Drosophila melanogaster: one gene and its partners. The protein of the gene in region 1 interacts with the protein of each later gene in a pairwise test. Each region holds a gene or a part of one and is shown in the gene's direction. Other genes may lie near its edges.

What was found.
Region 2: the proteins of CCDC53 (region 1) and CG5446 interact in a two-hybrid assay, tested with the Drosophila melanogaster proteins (one large-scale study listed by BioGRID).
Region 3: the proteins of CCDC53 (region 1) and CG12822 interact in a two-hybrid assay, tested with the Drosophila melanogaster proteins (one large-scale study listed by BioGRID).

The regions. Positions count from the first base shown.
Region 1 is NT_033779.5:8,039,270-8,042,506, forward strand, and holds CCDC53 (Coiled-coil domain containing 53), read left to right. Parts: upstream 1-1,836; 5' UTR 1,837-1,879; coding exon 1,880-1,924; intron 1,925-1,983; coding exon 1,984-2,429; intron 2,430-2,489; coding exon 2,490-2,529; 3' UTR 2,530-2,610; downstream 2,611-3,237. Other genes in the region: RpL36A (ribosomal protein L36A), read right to left, coding at 2,719-2,856, 3,171-3,237. UniProt on the Drosophila melanogaster protein: Acts at least in part as component of the WASH complex which may regulate wash nucleation-promoting factor (NPF) activity and is required for its membrane targeting during endosomal sorting.
Region 2 is NT_033779.5:12,426,121-12,429,801, reverse strand, and holds CG5446 (uncharacterized protein), read left to right. Parts: upstream 1-2,092; 5' UTR 2,093-2,234; coding exon 2,235-2,333; intron 2,334-2,414; coding exon 2,415-2,576; 3' UTR 2,577-3,171; downstream 3,172-3,681. Other genes in the region: Trm1 (tRNA methyltransferase 1), read right to left, coding at 1-4, 62-1,141, 1,205-1,659, 1,719-1,745; Fam92, read right to left, coding at 3,466-3,681.
Region 3 is NT_033778.4:7,830,202-7,834,479, forward strand, and holds CG12822 (uncharacterized protein), read left to right. Parts: upstream 1-1,969; 5' UTR 1,970-2,102; coding exon 2,103-2,164; intron 2,165-2,254; coding exon 2,255-2,441; intron 2,442-2,500; coding exon 2,501-3,490; 3' UTR 3,491-3,640; downstream 3,641-4,278. Other genes in the region: CG18853 (uncharacterized protein), read left to right, coding at 1-196; Prosalpha1R (proteasome alpha1 subunit-related), read right to left, coding at 310-791, 1,080-1,256, 1,319-1,394; Atg10 (Autophagy-related 10), read left to right, coding at 3,737-3,832, 3,898-4,054, 4,112-4,278.

The DNA.
Region 1 (3,237 bases):
ATTGTATTTAACAATTGGTACATGCAGAATGCTTATATAATTTCAATTGTCATTACCAAGGGGAGTACGCAATGCTTGATGGATTAACCACGACCATGTGAGGATGAGATATAAATAATAACTGCAGGCAAGCTATAAACGTATGCTAAGCTATTTATTTAATTTATGCCTAGTATTAACGAATGAAAGAAAGTTACAAACAAACAAAACAAACAAAATGTTGGCGCCAATCGCTGATCCAATGGATTTCGTAGTTGAATATAAATAGATTCGCTTACCATGGATGCGTACTCGTAATTTTAATCAAGTAAATTAATAACACGATGAATGAACAGATTTAGATATGTGACTTGAACGTGAACGCCGAGCAACTCAATATTAGTTTTTAGTATTACCAATTATTATTATATTATTATTACAAATTACATTTACGTGAGCCTTTCACCGACCGACACTCTCCACAAACCTTAAAAACACCCAAAAACTTGATATTCGAAACCGACGAATCAGAATCAAAAACGATTGCGATCTGTGTACACCAAGCAAATCCTCTATTATTTAAATTACGTATTTTAATTTACGCCTTAGTTGTTACAATCGAGAATCCGAATCGCCTTTTGGATTACCGCGGTGATCCGAAACTCTGATGAGCCGATGATGAATGATAATGGTAATAATTAAAATAGTTGTGGACGACCATCGGGGGCAGCCACTCACATATACATATATATATATATATATGTATATATATATACATAAAACTATTGATTTCTAATTTTAACTGTAAATTCTTGATTTTTTATTACCGTGTATTTTTATTTTAAATAAAGTTTTACAAAAAGAAGCCCTGTGACTTGCGTCTGCCTTTTGATTTCTCACAATTCTCACAAACAGCGCACAAACTATTCAGATTCAGTGATGAGAACGTTGTAGACCAGCTGGTTCTCGTTTGCAACGGTGGCAAAAGTTAATAACTTTCACTTGGCATTTTCATTTTCGAACCGTTCTCGCTGCTGGCAGCATTTTTGATTTCTTAACTCAGTTTTGCGAACTACACCGCACAGAATTGAAAGCATTTTCGTTTCTACAAACCATTACAAATCCACTGCCGACAAACACAAGCTGCACGCATGCGTTTTGTTTCAACAAAGACCGAGAATTCGGATCAGCAATGAAATTCTCAAAAAAAAAAAAATTGCTAACAAAAAGTAATGTAATTCTCCAAACAAATACAAATACAAATAATAAATAAAACGCGGATCCGATTTGGCATTCCAACTAATACTTAAGCCGCAGAAAGCGACGCCGAGATGGGCACGATAAGCATTATTTAACTAAGTCAAAATAAAAGTTCATTGTAGATTTGAGCATAGTGAGAAGGTCCCAGGTCCTAATGGAACACCCAGCACATAAGTTTATACATACATATATAAATAATAATGTCAAAGGAAATGCATATTAACTGAACGATACTTTTATAATAAATTGACGAAGAAGTGCATAATACTCGGAGAAATAACATTCACACATTTCATGTTAAGATACAATAAAGTGAATAAATAAAATATTTAAAACAAAATGGTGGATTTGTTGTTGAATGGGTTTCTAAGCTATAACTATGTATTTATGTATATTATTCGTTTTTTTTCACTTTAAAAATGAAATTTCAAAACATTTAAATATGCACACAAGTTTTTTGAAAGAAACTTCAGTTCTATTTCATTTTTAAACTAGGCGCCAAGTTAACTGTGTTAAGTTACGTGAGAAATACCAAATTTTTGGATCAGCTTGATGTTGAGCGAACAATATTTAGTATCGTCAGTCAGCCTGGCAACCCAGAAAAGTACTAAAATAAAAGACGGCTGGTGAAAATAAAATAATGGATGCAACTGCAGCAATCACCGGCAATGTGGACAAGACCCAGGTATGGGACTTATATTCAAGGGTGAACTGCACCTGCAGCTCTCAACTCTGTTCCTCCAGATACCGCCGCTGAACCAGAAACGCATCCTGGCCTTCGTTAACCATTTCCTCGTCAGCACCTGCACCTTTCTAAATGAATTTGCCCTGGGCTGTGAGACGAAGTTCGTGGAGATGGAACGGCAGCTGCAGAAGACGGAGGCCGCCCTCATCATCCTGGAGGCCAAGCTGGCGTCTATACCCACCGAGCACCATGTAGCGACTGAGGCTACCGAAGCGCCAGCGATATCAAACCAGCAACGCAACGAAGAAGCATCCATGGTGGACACCACGGAACCACCGACCACCGAGAATCCTACGGAGCCGGAACTCCCGCCTGAATCGGTTGGTGTGCGCGCCTGTGAAGATCAACGTTACAGAAAGTTCTTCAAAATGGTGCAAGTGGGTGTGCCCGCACCGGCGGTTAAGCAGAAAATGCAATCCGAAGGTCTGGAGCCGCGTATTTTAGAGTAAGTTCCGTGGAGAGGTTTGGCCAAATTGAAAGCTCATCAAGCTCATTTCCATTGCAGCACACCCGATCTGATCCTGGCGGATGGCCAGCGAGAGTGAGCTGCCTGGCGCAGAGCGTGATCTGATCTTGTGATATAGCACATGTTGCTACACCTTGCAATTAAACATTTTTTAAAGCTTACGTCTACAAGTTTATTTTGTTTTATTTGCCGCCGTGCAGCGACGCGAAAACAACATAAAACCACTTCGTTAGCGAAAAAAGGATTTTTAATGGTGTAAAGAAGGTGCCTAGAACTGGATCATCTGTCCCTTGCGCTTCTTGTCACCGCCCAGCTCGAAGTGCTTGCAACGCTTCAGGGGAGTCTGCTTGCGGTATTTGCACTCGGTGCACTCCATACGCAGCACAATCTTCTTGGTGGTCTTGGCCTAAAATGGAATTAGAACTCCAGTTAGCAAGCGGCATACAAATGGTGGTCATGAATTCATTTGGATTGTCTGAAGTTGCCGGTGGGGCGTTGTGGGCATGGATGCCACACAACGTTGCCTTCACGGCCGCACCAGTGCAACAACAGTTTTGATCTGGCACAGTTTTTTCCCACCAAAAAGCATAATGCTCAACGAGCGCAGCGATTTAGTTCTACGAAGCGCCATTCCAGGGATTCCAATCTAGCCGCCATTAGTGTCGATGGCAATCCGGCGGCAAGCGATCCCGGTAGCATTAGACGAATGGGGGCACTTACCTTCTTCCTGAAGATGGGCTTGGTCTGACCTCCGAAACCCTGCTGTTTCCTGTCGTAACGACGCCTG
Region 2 (3,681 bases), 4.4 Mb from region 1:
AATCCTGAAATTGGATGGGAATTTAGTATGCGAAAGTGGGTGGCTCGATTACTTAGCTTACATAATAGTGGCTCTGGTTCCAGGTCCCCAATGTGGAGTCGGATTCTCTTGGAAGCGCGATAATGCCGATTTGCGACTCTTCGGGTTCGCCTCCGGATGGAGTTCATCGAACTCGTAGACAGCAGTGCATTCTTTCGAAAGTATGGCCGCCAGTGGAGATCCAGGAATCATCCTTTCGGGATTTACCGGATGTCGCTTGCTCCAGCTGCGCAGAATGTCCCATAGCACCGCTGGTGGAGCATTGGTTTTCAACGAATTCTTCGAGGCATGCGAGTATGAGACTCGATAGCCAGCGTGGAGAATAGCAGACCGGAACTTTAGCATGGGCACGATTTCTAGCTTGAGCACACAGCACAGTTTGTCCGGCGTGTAGTAAAGGGGAACATCCTGCAGCTCCTCTTGGACCATGGAAAGAACTCCAACGATTCGTCTCTGGGTTCCCAGCGATTGCAAGGTGGTCTCCTGGACCGCCGTTAAAAGATCCTGCACAAATTCGGGGTTATGAATCGGTGCCGACCAGATGGGTCCACCCAGATGATGCCTGTGACCGCAATGTTCGCACTGCGAGTTGACCGCCGGACCAGTGGGAATTCCGAACTTCAGCTGCTGGGGATTACCAGCCGTGGGATTTGGCTTGGTTATGCCCAAGGGCTGCAGCGTGAAGGTCTCACATCCGGTGCATTGGTATATCCAAGACTGCTTGCTCATCGACAGCTTGCATTGGGCCTGGCCGACGTACACACGCACAAATATCCGGATGTAAAAGTCCGCTGATATGCTCAGTAGTGGTTCGATGTACTTGCCGTACCTGTTCGCGTGGCTCTCGATGCAGTGCAGCAAAATGCGCAATGCCATCTCGTGACAGCACTTCATCCGCAGCGGAACCGATCCGTATTTTACATAGCAAGCTTCCGGAGCATTTCCGGCCAGCACGGCCATGTCGGTGGCTGTCACCAGCAGCAGGCCGCCGTCCACCAGGCACTGCATAGCGCCATCCAAAAAGCGATTGGGACATCCGTACGGATCCAAGTCAACTGCATCAAAACGCTTCTCGGGTTGCGTCGAAAGATACATGAGGGTCCTGTACGATGTATTGGAATGCCCCATTTTATACCGTGTGCCAATAGCTTAATTATAAACCTACATTGCATCGGAGTGACTGGGCTCGATCAGCTCCTCCACCTTGTTGTGCCGGATGTTTGTGTTGATCGAGGCCACTGCCTGGCGGGAAAGATCGTTGGCCACGATCTGGCGTACACCGGCGATTTCCTGCGCGTAACGGATGCTACGCAAACCGGTGGCTGCCAGTGCCTCCAGGATCCGAAGTCCATCCTCATATCGAGTACCGGCCTCATAAACAGGTGGATCCTCGGGAACGGGAGTGGTCTTCTCATCCTCCTGTTCCTTGACCTTCTTCCGCTGCTTTTTGAGCGCCTTTTCGCTCCGCTCCTTGGTCAATCTCTGTCGATAAACATTCAGAGCAGCAATGCTCAGATCTCGATTGAATTCCTGGACAGGATTGTAGAACACATTGCCGCCGGAAACGATCTCCGCATTACGTTCGCGTATCACGTTTTCGTTGGGATTTTCAGCAATAATCTGCAATCGTAATGCTTAGCTTAATGTGGTTTATTTATAATGTGTTTTTCTTTAAGAACCTGCGGCTTTTCCTCGTCCACTTCCATTTGGATGAGTTAAAAGAATACACGTGGGGCAGTGTTGAAAAACGTAAGCTACTAGCTATTAAGCTTTAAAACTAAAAATATACACAAATTTGTTGTTTTTTATATGAAATACGAAATAAACATTACAGAATTATATTTAAGTTTAATTTAGTTTCAAAATTTACAATTTGGGTATATTCTCTGTAATAATACATCCCATAAAATGATGTTGAATAAAAATGGTTCTTAATATTTATTTGAATTATTTAAAGATTAAAATAAATTAAAATAATAAATTGACATTAAATATGACTGGAAAATAAAACTTGAAGCTAGCTACTTTGCCACCACCAGGATTATCGAAAGGACTATCGAACCAAAGTCCGCCCCTATGCTTGATAAAGAAATTAATTTGCAGAAGTGAAACAGCCGCAGCCGCAAACAGAAGCAAAAGAGCTAGAAGTGATAGCATTTTTGTACTTTTATACAGTGCCACAAAGAAGCCACAGAATGACCGATCTGCGCAACGAGATGGACAGCGATCTGGACCAGAACTACTCCCTGAACAGCAATGCGGACCCCAAAAACATGCAGGAGCTGACCATATACGTGAGTAATGCCCGAACCGGGAACCACCCAGTAAATAGAGACACCAAATGAGCACCCAGTAAACCTGCCTCCTGTTATCAGGTACAAAATCTGTTGCAGAACGTTCAGGACAAGTTCCAGACGATGTCGGACCAGATAATAACGCGCATCGATGACATGGGCAACCGCATCGACGATCTGGAGAAGAGCATTGCGGATCTGATGAACCAGGCCGGGATCGAGGGTCAGGGACCGGAGAAATGAGATCCGTAGCGCTGGCACGGCCACGCCCATTCGGAAAGTGCATCCCAATACCATTAGATACATACATCGAACACCTGGCACCCAGTCACCCGTATCAAGTTTACAATTCCAGGTTCTCACATTCATTTAATCTCCTCCGCACCCAGCTGCTCCCCAAGAAATGAAGAAAAGAACACATTTGCTCATCCATTTATTGCTTAGTTTTAAGTTTCGCCCGGTCGGGGCACATCATAATTTAAGTAAAGTAATTCTTTTGTGAGCAATGGCCAATAATTTTGAATTATTGCCGTTTAGTTTCTATTTATAAATTAAAAATTCAAGAATTGTAAATTCCCTGCTATTTGGGTGTTCAGGACTTCGATTTAACAACGGTTACCAGGCGACCAGTTCCCGATTTGTGTTTCCTCACCTGAAAGTTTATTGCGAAAAGGGGAAGAGAAGCGCGTCATTTCCGCTTGATTAGTTATGATATGCATATATTTAGTATTGTTTATCTGGGACAAATAATGCAAATCGTGACCCGTGTCCATTAATAAAAAGTGTATGGAAATCAGCGCTGAATGGCAAGGAGTGCTATATAACAATCCCTACTTTTAAAAGGAAAATCAACATTGATTTGTGGACCAGAATGATTTTCGAATATTAATTGCAATTTGTGTTGCTTCTACATATCATGTTTTTTAAGGCAATGAGATAGAGAGTGGTAATACATTCTGATTAAATTATGAAAGGAAGCTCTGAGACTGCGGGGTTACAAAAACCAATTAAGATAAACCCTTAGAAGTATGTTCCTAATTCAATTTTATTTAAGCTCTTGCTACGATTCCAGAATGTGCCTGCAATACTGATGTGAGCTCTAGGAACTCTACTACTGGTCATAATTTGAGTGCTAGTGCTGGGGCACGTGGAACTGCTTCTGCAGCCTTACATGGGTGGAGGCCACCGCCTTGAATGGATGTTTGACCGTTTGTCTGCTGGGCTTCGAAGGAGCAGAAGTGGCACTGGCACTGGTCGATGGCGTGGCTATATCCTTGCTGGCAGATCGGATCTTGGCCCCAAAAACATTCTCCCGCGGAGGAACCTGGTTGCCCGGCTGCGTGGGTTC
Region 3 (4,278 bases), on another chromosome or scaffold:
GTACAGTCTGGATGGTCGCGACCCCAACGGCTATGTGGGCTGCATGTGGTCCATTGGCGGCGTCCATGACATGGGCTGGAAGGAGCGGGCTATCTTCGGTAAGGTTAGGTACATGAACTATCAGGGATGCCGTCGCAAATTCGATGTAAATGCCTTTGTCATGCGATACGGCGGTAAGGTGCACAAGAAGAAATAAAACGTTTTCGGATTTGCCTTTGTTTTGAATGCAAGCCAAGAGCATTTTTTATTTAACCATAGATCCAAGAGGCTTTATAAAATATGACAAAATTACAGCTAGCGGGACAGAACTTAGTCCTTCTCGGCGATCTTGGTGAGGTGTTCCTCGATCTCCCGCTCATCCAAAATACGGAAAGTGGGATCAGACTTGCTGACCACGCCGATCTCAATGCCGTTCGGCTTGAAGTCTATAGCGAGCACACTGGACAGACAGGAGATGGCCAGCTGGATCGCTTTCTCCTCCGACAAGTTGGGCTTGTACTTCTTTTCCAGATAGCTGTTGGCCTCCAGAGTCTTGGCACCCACGCTGCAGGCCTTGAACCCGCTGAAGTAGCCAGCCGGGTCCGTCTTGTAAACGCTGGGGCCGATTTCATTGTCGTAAGCGATCAGCACCATGCTGCAGCCGAGCGGACGCATCTCGGCATTCTGCGTGTACACCTGGTTGATATCCGCAATTCGACGACACAGCACATCCACGGGCATTTCGTAGCCGTACTTGTAGCGGAAGTTGGCGGCCTCGTATCTGGCCTTCTGCACCTGTGAGCGGGAATCAGCTAGGGGAGAGAAATAATTTTAAGTATTTAGTGACACTCTTGGGTTGATATGTCCTCTTTTCTAGTTGAAGCACCGTGTGAAAACTACGTTTAAAATGGCTCCACGCTATACGCCTTTGCCCTAATGTCTGGCAGGCTATTTCTTCTGATTTTAGCACAATCATAAGTGAATCGCTACTTGGTTACATGGGACATATCAACAATGGGATAACTCTGTGCTAACTCGACTGGAATTTGACTCGAATCACGCCGGGATAAACAAGAATTTAAAGTATCTATGGTTCATACCTATGCGTCCGGTCATTGCGCATCCAATGTCCTTGGTGATGCGGAACAGGTGGGTCACCGTTTCAGGCACGATGTTCTTCTCGGTCACTTTTTTTTGGGTGGCCACCACGGCACAGTCGCCACTCTTCAGCGCCACCGTGGTGATGTTCTCCTGGGCAATAGCCTTGAAGGCGTACTCTGGCGGGGAAATGAGAATGTCAGACTGGATACAATGGAGCCGCAAGTGCCAGGATACTAACCCACTTGGTAGAGGCGTCCCTCCGGAGAGAAGATCGTGATGTGTCTGTCAAAGCCGGCTGAACTTCCGCGAGACATGATGCTTTCTTCGTGCTTCGATAGCTGCAATAGACAACGCCGGTTAAAATTCAGTTCTCAAGTCTGCCGCAAGCAACACACCTTTTGAACAATTAAAATTTACAAATTTGTATATAGCAGGGAAAATGTCGCTTCAAATCGAACCTACTGTGCAAAATTCAGATTGTCATTCTCAGCCCGAAAATGAACCTAAAAAATACCAAAAAGAAACGCGCGCTGGGATATATCGTTTATCATTGAAATCGAATATTTGGAAAAAGCCAAAATAGTGTTAAGCTACGCTTACAAAATGTTTAAATTATTCCTATTTTTATTTGTGAATTATTGTAAATTAGTCAACATAGAGCAAAGGGATTTGTAAAAAAAAATATTAACAAACATATGTAAATTGAAGACAAAACTTTTACTGCTCAGTAACGTTATCTTATATAATTTTTGTTGAGGCTTACAACGTTATTTCTTAAGAAAATGTTTGTAAAAAAAGCTATTGAGCGCAAGCTAAATCTAACTGGAATTAAGGCAGTTGGCCGTAACTAAGCACAGGTGAACCTATCGACAATCGATAACGTCGCGGTGCCGTGCGTAAGTGATGGCCAACTCTAGCTGGATGTAACCATTGAGAATCGAGGTAAATATTGGTCAATAACAGCGGAGAACGCTGCAATTGCGGATTATTTGGGAGTCAAGTGCGCGTTGCCGGCAGCGAAAATGCACGAGGATGATCTGAAGAGTCAGTTGACCATCGCGCGGAACGAGATCAACAATCTCAGGTGCGTTTGAGACAGGCAAATTGCCATGAGTGTCCTTTTGCTACTGGTATAGTTCAAGTTCACACCGATTTTGCCTTGACCATGATGCAGGCAGCAAGTGCGCAACCTGCAGCATGTGCAGCGCAAGGACATTGAGACGATAACCCGCCTGCTGCAGGACTTCCGCTGCGAGGGGTGTGCGAACAACAACAAAAGCGCCAAGGACAAGGTCGCCGGCGAGAAGCAGGAGCACCAGCACCAACAGCAGACGCAGGACCAGCAGACGGGCCAAGGTCAGGTGCGTTTGACCCTCCCACACACTGAAAGACACATACAAACCTCGCACCCAATCCTTAGAGCAATTATACCAATGGTGGGCACTGCTTGGGAGAGGACTACGCACACTTTCGGCCCATAGGAGTGATCCGGACAGCATTCCCAGAGAAGCGGGCCGTGCCGAGGCAGTCAATTGTGGGCAGTCGCCTGCGGGGTATCATCCAACTGAACGACGGTGTGTTCACCAATCCGGAGCACTCCTTGGAGGGACTAGAGGACTTTTCCCATCTGTGGCTCATCTATCATTTTCACCGCAACAATTCCCACCCCAAGGCCAAGGTGGCGCCTCCCCGTCTTGGTGGGGAGCGGGTGGGTGTGTTTTCCACACGATCTCCACACCGCCCGTGTCCCATTGGTCTCTCGTTGGTGGAGATTGAGAAGATCGAGAACGCCACCATTAGTTTCTTTGGTACGGACATGGTAGACGGCACACCCGTGTTGGACATTAAGCCCTACATTCCACACTACGATGCACCATCCTTGAGCGTTGACTCAGGTACGTTGGACGAGAATCAAGCAGAAATGCAACTAAAGTTCTTGCCCCGGACAGGAAGAACCTCTGTTGGACCGCATGAGAGCAGCCTGGACTTCTACGACTCCAGACAGGAGCCTGACGGAGAGGAATCGGACCTGGAACTGTATGGAGCAGCTGGCTACAGCGGGAACGCGGGCATTGGAGCTGACGCTATTCTGCCGCCACCCAGCGCCGTGCGAGTGCCCAACTGGGTGGTGGCCAGCAATAGACTTAGCGTGACCTTTAACGAGCATGCCGAGGCGCAGTTAAAGGAGCTGCAGGTGGAGAAGCAGTGCATCGTGGACATTCTGGAGGCGGATCCGCGCTCCGTTTACTTGCGCACAAAATATGGCTCGCAAATATTTACCTTCCAGCTGCGGGAGGTCACGGTGACGTGCAAATTTGATGACAAGGCCGGCACGGTGACTGTGGTTCAGGTCCGGCGCAACGAGAATGTCCAGGTTACCGCCCTGGACGGCGACCTGCGCAGCGCCTAACTTATGGATTATTGCAATTGATATTCGTTAATTGACGATTTGTGTTAAGCTTAAGTGTATTGTGTTGAGGAGCTTTAACCTTTGGCGTTTCAATTTTGCTCTAGAATACAGGACATTCTTAAATATATGTATGAGGCTTGTTTCCCACGCAAAAGAAATTGTTTTCTTTCAAGTATCGTTACGCGTGGGTATTTGAAGTGTTTAAAGATTTTAACACGCATATTTTTGTGCTTTATTTTCAGCATTATGGGCGACTTGAGCTGGAAAGATTTTTTGAGCCAGGCCAAGCAGTTCCTCGAAATTTCGCAGAAGTTGGGTGATAATTGGATATTGGAACAAAAGGTATCTCGCAGTGCGGATTTTATAATTCGGGCTAATTATTTAATACGTTTTCCATCCCAATTAAGGACTCGAATGAACCAAACACCTATCTCAAATGTAGTCAGAAGATTAAATGCCGAGGTGGCAAGGACAACTCGGCTGAGTTGGTTAGTGTGGAGTACCATGTGGTCTTCAGTGTTTCCTATCAAGTACCAATGTTGTTCTTCCAGGCACACAGATCAGGTATTTACATATTTTACAAAATCTCACTAGATGTGAAAATAAATCCACTTATCGTAGATGGAAGTCTTTTGGATGTGGAGGCCACTTGGCGAATGTTCATGCCCGAATCGAAGGCCAGCGATCTCCACCAGATACTCACCCAGATGGATCACCCGGTGCTTTTCAGACCCTTTATGGCATTGCATCCATGCCGCACCGCCGAAGTGCTAAAGCAGTTCGGAAAG